3 linked regions of the Arabidopsis thaliana genome follow. The protein of the gene in region 1 interacts with the protein of each later gene in a pairwise test. Each region holds a gene or a part of one and is shown in the gene's direction. Other genes may lie near its edges.

Evidence for each region.
Region 2: the proteins of AT4G19370 (region 1) and BTI2 interact in a two-hybrid assay, tested with the Arabidopsis thaliana proteins (one large-scale study listed by BioGRID).
Region 3: the proteins of AT4G19370 (region 1) and AT2G25520 interact in a two-hybrid assay, tested with the Arabidopsis thaliana proteins (one large-scale study listed by BioGRID).

Annotation. Positions count from the first base shown.
Region 1 is NC_003075.7:10,566,169-10,569,923, reverse strand, and holds the start of AT4G19370 (chitin synthase, putative (DUF1218)), read left to right. Parts: upstream 1-2,085; 5' UTR 2,086-2,388; coding exon 2,389-2,478; intron 2,479-2,546; coding exon 2,547-2,758; intron 2,759-3,309; coding exon 3,310-3,661; 3' UTR 3,662-3,755. Other genes in the region: AT4G19380 (Long-chain fatty alcohol dehydrogenase family protein), read left to right, coding at 1-1,497. UniProt on the Arabidopsis thaliana protein: Together with MWL1, contributes to secondary cell wall biology, specifically lignin biosynthesis.
Region 2 is NC_003075.7:6,837,991-6,841,745, reverse strand, and holds the start of BTI2 (VIRB2-interacting protein 2), read left to right. Parts: upstream 1-1,709; 5' UTR 1,710-2,167; coding exon 2,168-2,420; intron 2,421-2,741; coding exon 2,742-2,922; intron 2,923-3,011; coding exon 3,012-3,153; intron 3,154-3,243; coding exon 3,244-3,313; intron 3,314-3,400; coding exon 3,401-3,570; 3' UTR 3,571-3,755. Other genes in the region: AT4G11230 (Riboflavin synthase-like superfamily protein), read left to right, coding at 1-77, 160-369, 461-589, 675-753, 846-955.
Region 3 is NC_003071.7:10,858,871-10,862,625, forward strand, and holds AT2G25520 (Drug/metabolite transporter superfamily protein), read left to right. Parts: upstream 1-1,797; 5' UTR 1,798-2,079; coding exon 2,080-3,123; 3' UTR 3,124-3,540; downstream 3,541-3,755.

The DNA of each region.
Region 1 (3,755 bases):
GTTGGGTCTGGATCCGGTGGAGGAGTGGCGGCAGGAGTGTTAGCCAAGGCTGGTTACAAAGTGTTGGTGATTGAGTCAGGGAATTACTATGCAAGAAGCAAACTTTCTTTACTTGAAGGGCAAGCTATGGATGACATGTATTTATCCGGTGGGTTATTAGCGACGTCCGATACGAACGTAGTGATTCTTGCGGGATCCACAGTCGGAGGTGGTTCTACAATCAATTGGTCCGCCTCGATCAAGACACCAGAACATGTGATGAAGGAATGGGCAGAAAAGTCAAAACTCGAAATGTTCGGAAGTGATTTGTATCGAGAGGCAATGGATGTTGTCTGTAAGAGGATGGGTGTTCAATGCGGATTTGTAGAAGAAGGGTTTAATAATGAGGTATTGAGAAAAGGTTGTGAAAAGTTAGGGTTACCAGTGAAGAATATTCCGAGGAATGCTCCATCCGATCATTACTGTGGGTTTTGTTGCTTGGGTTGCAAGAAAGGTCAAAAGCAGGGGACTTCAGAGACTTGGCTTGTAGATTTGGTGGAATCTGATAATGGTTTAATCCTTCCAGGTTGTCAAGCGACGGAAGTCATGTACGACTGTGAACAGGGGAAGAAGAAGAAGGCAACTGGAGTTGCGTTTGCGTTTGGGGAAGAGATTTATGTGGTGGAGTCTAGAGTGACAATAGTGGCTTGCGGTGCGCTTAGAACGCCGCATCTGTTGAAACGTAGCGGTTTGAAGAATAGTAACATTGGGAGAAACCTTTGTCTACATCCGGTTGTTATGGCTTGGGGATGGTTTCCAGAGGAAGATAAGTGGCCGGAAAAGAAGAAAAAGAGCTACGAGGGGGGAATAATGACTGCGATGTCTAGCGTTGTAATTGAAGAAACGCATAGTTCTTATGGTGAAATGGTTATCCAGACACCTGCTCTACATCCAGGAATGTTCTCAGGGATCATTCCCTGGACATCAAGCAAGGATTTCAAAACCCGAATGCTCAAATTTTCAAGAACCGCACACATTTTTGCGCTTCTGAGAGATAAAGGAACCGGAACAATAGATTCCAAGACCTACATTGACTACAACTTAAACGATGAAGACGAAGAGAGTCTAAAGAACGGTCTTGAAAGAGTCTTGAAGATTCTGGCCGCAGCCGGAGCCGAGGAGATTGGGACGCATCATTCAGAAGGTAGGAGTCTGAATGTTAGAACAGCGAGTTCGTTAGAGATTGAGCGGTTTGTGAGAGAAGAGAGTTCAAAGCCGTTGAAGGATTTGTCAGGTCAGATATGTTCAGCTCACCAAATGGGAAGTTGTAGGATGGGAATTAGGCCGGAGGAATCCGCGGTGAGGCCAACAGGAGAGACTTGGGAGGTCGAAAGGTTATTTGTGGCGGACACAAGTGTTTTTCCGACCGCTTTAGGGGTTAATCCGATGGTCACCGTTCAGTCTATTGCTTATTGTATTGGACTTAATGTTGTTGATGTTCTTAAGAAGAAGAAGTGAGGGTTCATCAGTTTGAAATAGATTTTAGTTTTCCACATATTTTTTAAAATGAAATGTTTTTTTTATACAATTGATAAAACTAATATTAAGAAGTTCTTTGTCAAAGTATCAGTTAGCAATAAATTTCCTTTTCTTTTAATTATTCGTAAACTATAACTAGTAAACACTGGTAGGCAGTAGCAGCTTGATAAATAAGAAATAAAGATGAGCAAAATGGATAATATTTCTTAAGCTAGTAGGCAATATATGATATGAAATAAAAAATCATATTAAAATTTCAGATTTTAATTCTAAAACAAAACAAACAAAAAATTATGTATACAAAAAGTTTCAAGCCTTTAACTTGGGAAGGCTTAATCTATACTCAACTTCTATAGTCCATGCCATTATCATGCTTTTGTTCTTTTTATTAAGGCCACTTTGTATGTAAGTCAAACAATCTACGTTTGACCTCGTCTTTAGTAAACACAAATCATCTATTTCCTTTTAATCGTTTTGGAAAAAAATTTTATTTTAATGTATGATAATATTCTCCTCTCTTTTATTTCCATATTATTTAGTTGACAAAGAAGATTTCTATGAGAAGTTACCTCACATAGTCACATATCCAAAATTTTAAGTTTGTGTTGTGTACTTGTATCAAAAGTATACGCCATCATCTATTTTCTTTAAAATGGTTTTGGAAATTTTATCATTTGATATAATTAAGAATTTTATTCTCTCTCTTTATTTTCCATCCTTATGTAGATTAAAGAACTTTCCTCAAGCCTATTAAAAGATAATTAAATAAATCCCCCTGAGAATTTGACTCAAATAATCTAAGGTGTAGCATTTATGTTGCAGAATTACATATATGTAAGTGCGTCTGATTGATTTTGTCCACTAAAAACTATGCACAACCTTTTTCTCTACTCAGTCGTGTTCTCTCTTGGTCTCGTTTCCTTCATCACATGTTTCGCAGCCGAGTTCAAGAGAACACAGGTACGACGTCGAGTTCCTTCAATTTGTTTTTTTATATTGACAAATCGAACCAAAGTTTACTTGTGTAGAAAGAAGATATTCGATGGGACACAGAGAGGAACTGCTATGTACCCGGAAGCCATGCGTTCGGGCTTGGATCAGCCGCTGTTCTTTGCTTCTGCCTTGCTCAGATCGTTGGGAACATAGTTGTGTTCCGAAATCACCGGACAAGAACTAAAAGAGAAGATGGTTACAAGATTACTGATCTTACTTTACCTACGGTTCTATTGCTCCTGTCCTGGTAAAATATTTTTCCTCTTCTCTTTTTTTTTTTTAATCTCATCTAACTGTAACCAAGAATCCCCTTAACCACCTACCGATATATCTTACTGAATTTTGTATTGGGTAATTTTGAATCAGTGAGTAATTCGGTTTACGGTTTAGTTTTCCGGTTTTACTAAAACTTAAACCTATAAAACCATTTGTATTTTGGTTTGGCTGTTTAGTTTTTGTTTTGTACTAGGTTCGGCTGTAGTTGAAAAAATAAAACCGAAATATAAATATATAAGAAGTTCACCAATATTATGTTTATGCAATAAAAAAATATAACATCTAAAGAAAATATGGACTGGTTTGTTAGGTGACACTAATGCAAAGTTCGGTATCGTTTCGGTTAATCAATTTGTTTTGGTTTGATTCGATTTTAAGGTTGAGAGTTATATTTCCCATCCCTAAGATTCTAAACATATCAGGCGATGTATCATCTAAAGTATAAGAAAGAAAATATCTCTTGAGATTAGTTTCCTATATTGATAATTCTCTGTTCTTGTTTTTCCTTACCTATGTGATCAGGTCCAATTTTGTGGTAGTGGTATTGATTTTGAGTACCGCAATAAGCATGAGTCGAGCTCAAGCGTATGGAGAAGGATGGCTTGATGAAGATTGTTACTTGGTCAAAGACGGTGTCTTTGCAGCTTCAGGCTGCTTAGCCATCCTTGGACTTGGAGCTTTGACCATTTCAGCCACCAGGATCAAAGTAAAGAAACAACAACAACTTGTGCAAGTCGTAATCAAAGACCAAAACCAAGACCAAAGGAGATCAATGGAAGAAGAACAAAAGCATGATGAGCACCAAACGAACAAGTCAGAAAGTGTCATTCACTTGGTGGAAGAAGTGTCTTCCACTAATATAAGCAGAATATAAAAATAAATATAAAACGAAAAGTAAAAGGGGAAATATCGGATATGCTATTATTTACAAAGATGTATATAATTGGTTAATGCACTTATTTAATTCA
Region 2 (3,755 bases), 3.7 Mb from region 1:
TTGGAATCGGCGCAACACCTTTCGTTAGCATTTTGAGAGATCTACTCAATAACATTATTAAGCAACAGGAACAAGCTGTGAGTATAACAAGCTTAAAAACCTTGTTGATGAGTAACAGAATCTCAACTAAACTTTTTTGGAGTTATGTTATATTCTCAGGAATGCATCTCAGGTAGTTGTAGTAACAGCAACATCTCGTCGGATCACAGTTTCAGTTGCTTAAACTCAGAAGCTGCGAGTCGGATTCCGCAAACTCAACGGAAGACGCTGAATACCAAGAATGCTTACTTTTACTGGGTAACACGAGAACAAGGCTCGTTCGATTGGTTCAAAGAAATCATGAACGAGATTGCTGATTCAGATAGAAAGGTAAAAACAATACACTTATTCATTTTAAATTCAAAAGATTGTATGATTTCAAGTTACTCACTGACGTATTTGTCTTGTGAACAACTACAAGGGTGTTATTGAGATGCACAACTACTTGACTAGCGTCTACGAAGAAGGAGATACTCGATCCAATCTTCTCACTATGATCCAAACGTTAAACCATGCCAAAAATGGCGTCGACATTTTTTCAGGAACCAAGGTAATGATCTTTAATGATTAGTTGATTACTTTATCACAAACAACACTCTTTTCTGATCTTGTATAACAACTTTTGGTTATTTTAGGTAAGGACACATTTTGGGAGGCCAAAATGGAAGAAAGTTTTATCAAAGATTAGCACCAAACATAGGAACGCAAGAATTGGTAACACACAGAAACATCAGTTCACTGAAATGATATTCGATATCGCGGTGTATATTTGCCTTGTCTGAAGAATGTTTTTTTGTTTGTTACAGGAGTGTTCTATTGTGGAGTTCCAAGTTTGGGGAAGGAACTTTCAACACTCTGCCATGAATTTAACCAGACGGGAATTACCAGGTTCGATTTCCACAAAGAACAGTTCTAACTGGTAAAAGGATTAATCCCCCACGATTATGGTTTTTTGAATGAATGAATCAATGTTCATGTTCGTTCTCGTATCCTACTTGTTGTGTTTTCTTTTCGTTTTGTGTATCACAAATACCAACTTTTAACCATTTCATCTAGAGTAGGACTGTTAAAAAATGTAAAAAGTCACAGTTAAAGCTTGTGAAGAAAAAAAGAGTGTAAAGGAGTAAAAATGAGAAATTCAAACAAAGGGGGATGATGGGATCATTGGGATGATTGGTTCTGTCTGTTCAATTGTTTTCAAATTTGAGCACTTATTATTGGGCCTGTCTTTGAGCTCTCTTATTATTATGGGCCGATAACTAGTTTGGCCCATTTGGTTATCAACTTGAAAATGAATGAAGAAAGCTGGGGAAAAGGGTCTTTTTAAACCCGAACTGACTCAAAAGCCTCAAAAATTTCACTGTTCCTTGGTTCTTGACCGGTTTAGAATCATGGTTTCGGTTTTGAATCATATTTGCTTTCTTGGACATGAGAAAGTAACTGGGCTTCATCATTGTTTTAGCTCATTGGGCCCATATTACGACTCGAGCTAACGCTGTCAAGTTAAATGCTTTTTCACTTTCTAGAGCATTCTTTTTTAAACACTTCTTTTAACCAAGAGACGGTTCCTACTTCTCTAATATTTTTATTTTCTAGTTTTTTGGCCAGCAGCAAAATATTATTTTAATTTAGTGTCAAGATAATTAAATTATCATTGTCTTTTGAATGCAGACCGAAAGTACATGAGTCACATAAGCAAGCGGCTACGATTCAACCACGTGTCACATGACCACCGGTTCGACCGTTTCTTTGTCCAGCCGCGTGACACCTGAACCAGAAAAGTTTAATAGCCATTTTAATAACAGAGCCGTTAATTACACGTGACTTAAAAAGCCGTTATCCTTAACAGCGTTAACATCTCGGTCCTGTGAAAACACTTTTTATATGTCCCCACGACATTTATCTTTTCCTAAGCATCGCTCTAGTTAAGGAAGCAGCAGGTTTGGATCCGAACCAACCAACGGATCAGATCAGAAACAAAATATTCAACGGCTCAGATTTATTCTAATTTTCCTCCTTTTATTGTTGGTTTTTTCATTCGACTTCGAGATCTTTCTTCTCAGAGGTGTAACGAAAACGCTAGAACAATAACTTTGATCGTTCTTCTTCTTCTCTTGAATCGGAAACAATGGCGGATGAACATAAGCATGAAGAATCTTCACCTAATTTGGATCCAGCAGTGGAGGTTGTAGAGAGGGAATCGTTGATGGAGAAGTTATCGGAGAAGATCCATCACAAAGGTGATTCGTCGTCTTCATCATCATCAGATGACGAAAACGAGAAGAAGTCTTCGTCATCGTCTCCAAAGTCTTTGAAATCGAAGGTTTATCGTTTGTTCGGAAGAGAGAGACCTGTTCATAAGGTTCTCGGCGGCGGAAAACGTATGTTTACTCTGATCCCGTTTCGATATTTGTTCTCAGTTTTTTAAAACGAATTCGTTTGCGTTGGCTTGATCTGTTTGATTTTCTCACTAGTTTAAGGGATCCGTGAAGAAGATCGTTTGAATCTACATAGAGGTTTACATTGATTTGAATTCGATTTCGATTTTGATTTCTGACTAGTTTGAGAGAATTTGTGATGGAATTGATTTTTTTTTTTTTGGAAATGTGTATAATGATCTTGTGAGATTCTTGTAGTTATTGATGATATGGTTCTTATTTCGTGATTGATAAACCCTAATTTGGTGATCTTTTTAATTGCAGCGGCAGATATATTTATGTGGAAGGACAAGAAAATGTCAGGAGGTGTATTTGGCGGTGCTACAGTGGCATGGGTGCTATTTGAATTGATGGAGTATCATCTTCTTACTCTGTTATGTCACGTTATGATCGTTGCTCTTGCTGTGTTGTTTCTATGGTCTAATGCCACTATGTTCATTCACAAGTAAGTTTTGTGGTCAATCATATGAAACAGGTCAAGGTTGTCAAGCTTATTTGACTCATCTTCGTTACCAAATTTTCATTCTCTTTCAGGTCTCCACCAAAGATTCCTGAAGTTCATATCCCTGAAGAACCTCTTCTTCAGCTTGCTTCGGGTCTTAGAATCGAAATCAACCGTGGGATCTCTTCTCTTCGTGAGATTGCGTCGGGGAGGGATATCAAGAAGTTCCTCTCTGTATGTTTAAACTGTCCTGGACTTACTCGTTACTCCTCTCTCGATGTCTCACTTAAGTTTGACACTTATTGTACTGTTTGATTGAATTAGGCTATTGCCGGATTGTGGGTTCTATCGATCTTGGGCGGCTGCTATAGTTTCTTGACATTGGCATACATAGGTAACACTTACTGTTGCTAAAAGTATTTTGCTTCTGCCTTCTCTCTTATTCTGACATTGCTGATGAACGGTTATTGATTTGGTCCAGCTCTGGTTCTGCTCTTCACTGTTCCTCTTTTCTACGACAAGTACGAAGACAAAGTAGACTCATACGGTGAGAAAGCAATGGCTGAGTTGAAGAAGCAATACGCTGTGTTGGACGCAAAGGTATTCAGCAAAATCCCAAGAGGACCGTTGAAAGACAAGAAGAAGGATTAGTTTTTTTTGGGGTTTTTGTTTTGTGTGGGTTTTCTTTGGAGTGCAATGTGCACAATGCTCTGGTTTTTATACACGTGGGTTGTGTTGTGTTGTGAATTGGTAATCTAAAAGGTTATGTGTTAGATCTCAACCCAAATTTTACTTGACAACTTTGCTTTGTTTTTGGAGTGGTTTGTGGCATTAGC
Region 3 (3,755 bases), on another chromosome or scaffold:
GGTTTTAATTATGGGGATGCCACTTTATACGGTGATTCGTTTAGGTGAAGGTTTTACTTCTGCTTGTACTATTGGGTCCGCGGTTGATAAATACTATCAGATATGATTGCATACTTGCATGTAACTGATAAAAATAATATTTGTTACTTTACGTATTTTGAATTACCAATTAGCCTGTATTTCAAGTAACCAGAACTACTAGTTACTAAGCAAGCAGTTGTGCACTTATTAGATCATAATAATAATAAGTACTCAATAACTAAAATCACCTTAAAACGGAAATTAAAAAAATGATCGACTTTGATGTTATCATATCCGCCACTTTTGTTTCGTTCTCTCGGGCTGAATCGTTTGTTTCGTTCTCTCTATCGTTACTAGCTCTCTGTTTCTTGTTTTGTCTCTATTCATTAACTTTGCTTCCCTTATTAGTAATTATAATTTATAAATTCTAAATGATGTCTCTGTAAAAGAGAAACAAAGTAGATAAATATTAAGGGAGAAATGTAAATGTAACTGCATAATCGGTTTGCTACAAACTTATTTTTCCCTCCTAAAATGTTTCTTTTCTTTCTTTGCAAAAGATTCATTCGCTATATGCCTGTATTGGTTAAACATTAGTAGAAGTATTTTTGCAATTGGCGTGCAGAACATGGGAAGTTAGTAGCTACTTTATATATGGCCACATGACTTCCTCGCACGTCACGTAATCGGTGAAATGCTGTCCATGTGACAGTCAGACTCTTCGTAAAACAAATGTTCCGAAAGTAGTAACTACGGATAATTTATTTATTTTTGCAAACGTTACTGTAGTTACAAAATAAATAATGTTCCTTTGTAACTTTGGCGTGGGATTTCCAAAAAGTCTCTTGTCACATGAAACGGTTTTGAAAAATTTATAATCTCACTTTGAATTTGGTATATGTATTCAGACGAATGATAAGATACCAAATTATTTTAGTCGTTTTAATTTATAGATTTATTACTAACTTTTTTTTTTGTAAATTTAAACTTTCAGATTAGGCAACACCAAATAAATGATATATTTAATAGAAAATGTATGGTCGAAAAAAAATATTGTAATGTCTCTACACCAGAAGCTTTTGTTTTGACTTTTGAGTGTTTGAATCATTTGAAGTTTTGAACAGAATAATTCCACAATCAAAACCAAATAATATTTTATCAGGCGAGCGAAAGACAAGATTTTGACAGGTATTTGTACAAGTACTGAGTCGGTCAACAAACCCCGTCTGGACTCTGGACCCGAAGTAACCCAACAAACGTTGCGACAACTACATTAGCACCACCACCAAGGCACCAATAATGCAACGTAAGAGGGACGCAGCAAAACTGTCGCGATGTGAGATTCACGCGCTCTAATTTAAACGTTGACTCTTTGTTTCATCGTTACTCTCTCCCATTTATTTACTTCGCATACTCTCTTCGTTACAAGTTTCCATTTAATTACTCTTAAGTCTCTAACTAATAGCTTTAGGGATTCGTCATTAATTTAAGGCAACGTAAACTTAAAGAGTTTCGACTAAAAGCCGTTTCAGGAAACATACATCATCACATACTTTATCTAAATAACTGGCTTATTAATTTTATAACAAAAATGACGTTATTTAGTGTTAAGATATACAAATATTTAATTTTTACTAAATTAGTTAAGGTAAAATTGTGTTCCTTTCTGTGAGTTTTCCGCAATATTAAAAAACCCTAGAGAAATTAACAAAACGTAATTGACTAAAAAAAGAGTTCAAAACAAAACATTTGTTACATTTATTTCATAATTTAAAGACTAAGTATAAATCCACTAGAAAACAGATGATTAAAAATGCGGGTCCCACAATACGCCAATCGTCAAATAATCGCGCACCTTTTCGCCACGTAGCATAACAAAGTCACGTAAGCCCTTCCTCTACATTACAAGACCAAACTCAAAGTCTCTTTCTCCCCCAAACCCAAAAACATTGACCCAAAGAGAGAGAGACTTCTATCGTGCGCACCTCTCTCTCTTAATCCTTTATCCTGCGCACCACCACCACCATCTTCTTCTCCGGCGAAAACAAACCCACCGCCATGGGGAAAGGTCGTGCACTTTCCGACGGAGTGATCAAAAAGATCATCCTTTCATACACCTATGTCGCAATCTGGATCTTCCTCAGCTTCACAGTCATCGTCTACAACAAATACATCCTCGACAAGAAGATGTATAATTGGCCATTCCCAATAACTCTCACCATGATCCACATGGGTTTTTGCTCTTCCTTAGCTGTGATTCTCATCAAAGTCTTCAAAGTCGTCGAGCCTGTTTCAATGTCACGCGAGACTTATCTCAGATCCGTCGTACCAATCGGCGCGTTGTACTCACTTTCTCTCTGGTTATCAAACTCTGCTTACATCTACCTCTCTGTTTCCTTCATTCAAATGCTCAAAGCCCTAATGCCTGTAGCAGTTTACTCAATCGGGGTTTTGTTGAAGAAAGAGACTTTCAAATCTCAGACTATGACTAACATGCTTTCGATCTCGTTTGGTGTTGCTATTGCTGCTTATGGTGAAGCTAAGTTTGATGGTTGGGGTGTTTTTCTTCAGCTTGGTGCTGTTGCTTTTGAAGCCACTAGGTTGGTTTTGATTCAGATCTTGCTTACTTCTAAAGGAATCAATCTAAATCCAATCACTTCTCTCTATTACGTTGCTCCTTGTTGTTTGGTTTTCCTCTCTGTTCCTTGGATCTTTGTGGAGTTTCCAGTTCTTAGAGATACTTCGAGTTTCCATTTCGATTTCGTGATCTTTGGAACCAATTCTGTTTGTGCGTTTGCTTTGAATCTTGCTGTGTTCTTGCTCGTTGGGAAAACCTCTGCTTTGACTATGAATGTGGCTGGTGTGGTTAAGGATTGGCTCTTGATTGCATTCTCGTGGTCGGTGATTAAGGACACGGTCACACCTATCAATCTGTTTGGTTATGGACTTGCCTTTTTGGGTGTTGGATATTACAATCACTGCAAGTTACAGGCGTTGAAGGCTAAAGATGCACAGAAGAAGGTTCAGGCAAGTGATGACGAAGCTGGGAAGCTTTTGGAAGAGAGGGAAAGTGAAGCTAAACGCAACGAAACCCAAGATTGATCTGTTCTGATTCAAGAATGCAATTTCAGGAAATAAGAGCTTCAAGGTTAGAATGATTTGGGAAGATGGATTTTGCATTTTCATAGGTATGATTATCATTGTCGGTGTTCGTTCGTCTACGTTTTAGTTTTGCGATTATATTTTTAAGTTATGGCTGATTATATTACATAGTGATGGATGGGTGTTTAATTAGAGGTTCATGAATCTTTTGAACTCCATTGTATCTTCTTCTTTTGAGTTGTATTTTGTTTCTTACTTCCTCATGAATCTATCTTTGTGGGTAACAATTGTTTTAGTAGTACTTCTTTATATTTTTTCCCTCCATTGAGATTGTTAAATGTCAAATTGAAAGTCCCTTTTACGTCTCTCTTTATCCAATGAAACCGTTGTATGTTGGAAGGCACAAGAAGATGGTCAACACCAAAAACTTTTTGATATTTTATGGGTTATGTAGGATCATTTAGTAGCAAGATCCACAATTTAAGGAAATAAACAAAATACCCATACCGACGTTCCCTTGCAATAATATGACACATGACACCATCATATGAATACAATGGTCTCATTTAACCTCTACAAATATCCTTCCTTTAGTCTCAACAAGTTTCTGTCCTGAGTAAAGGGACAGGCCA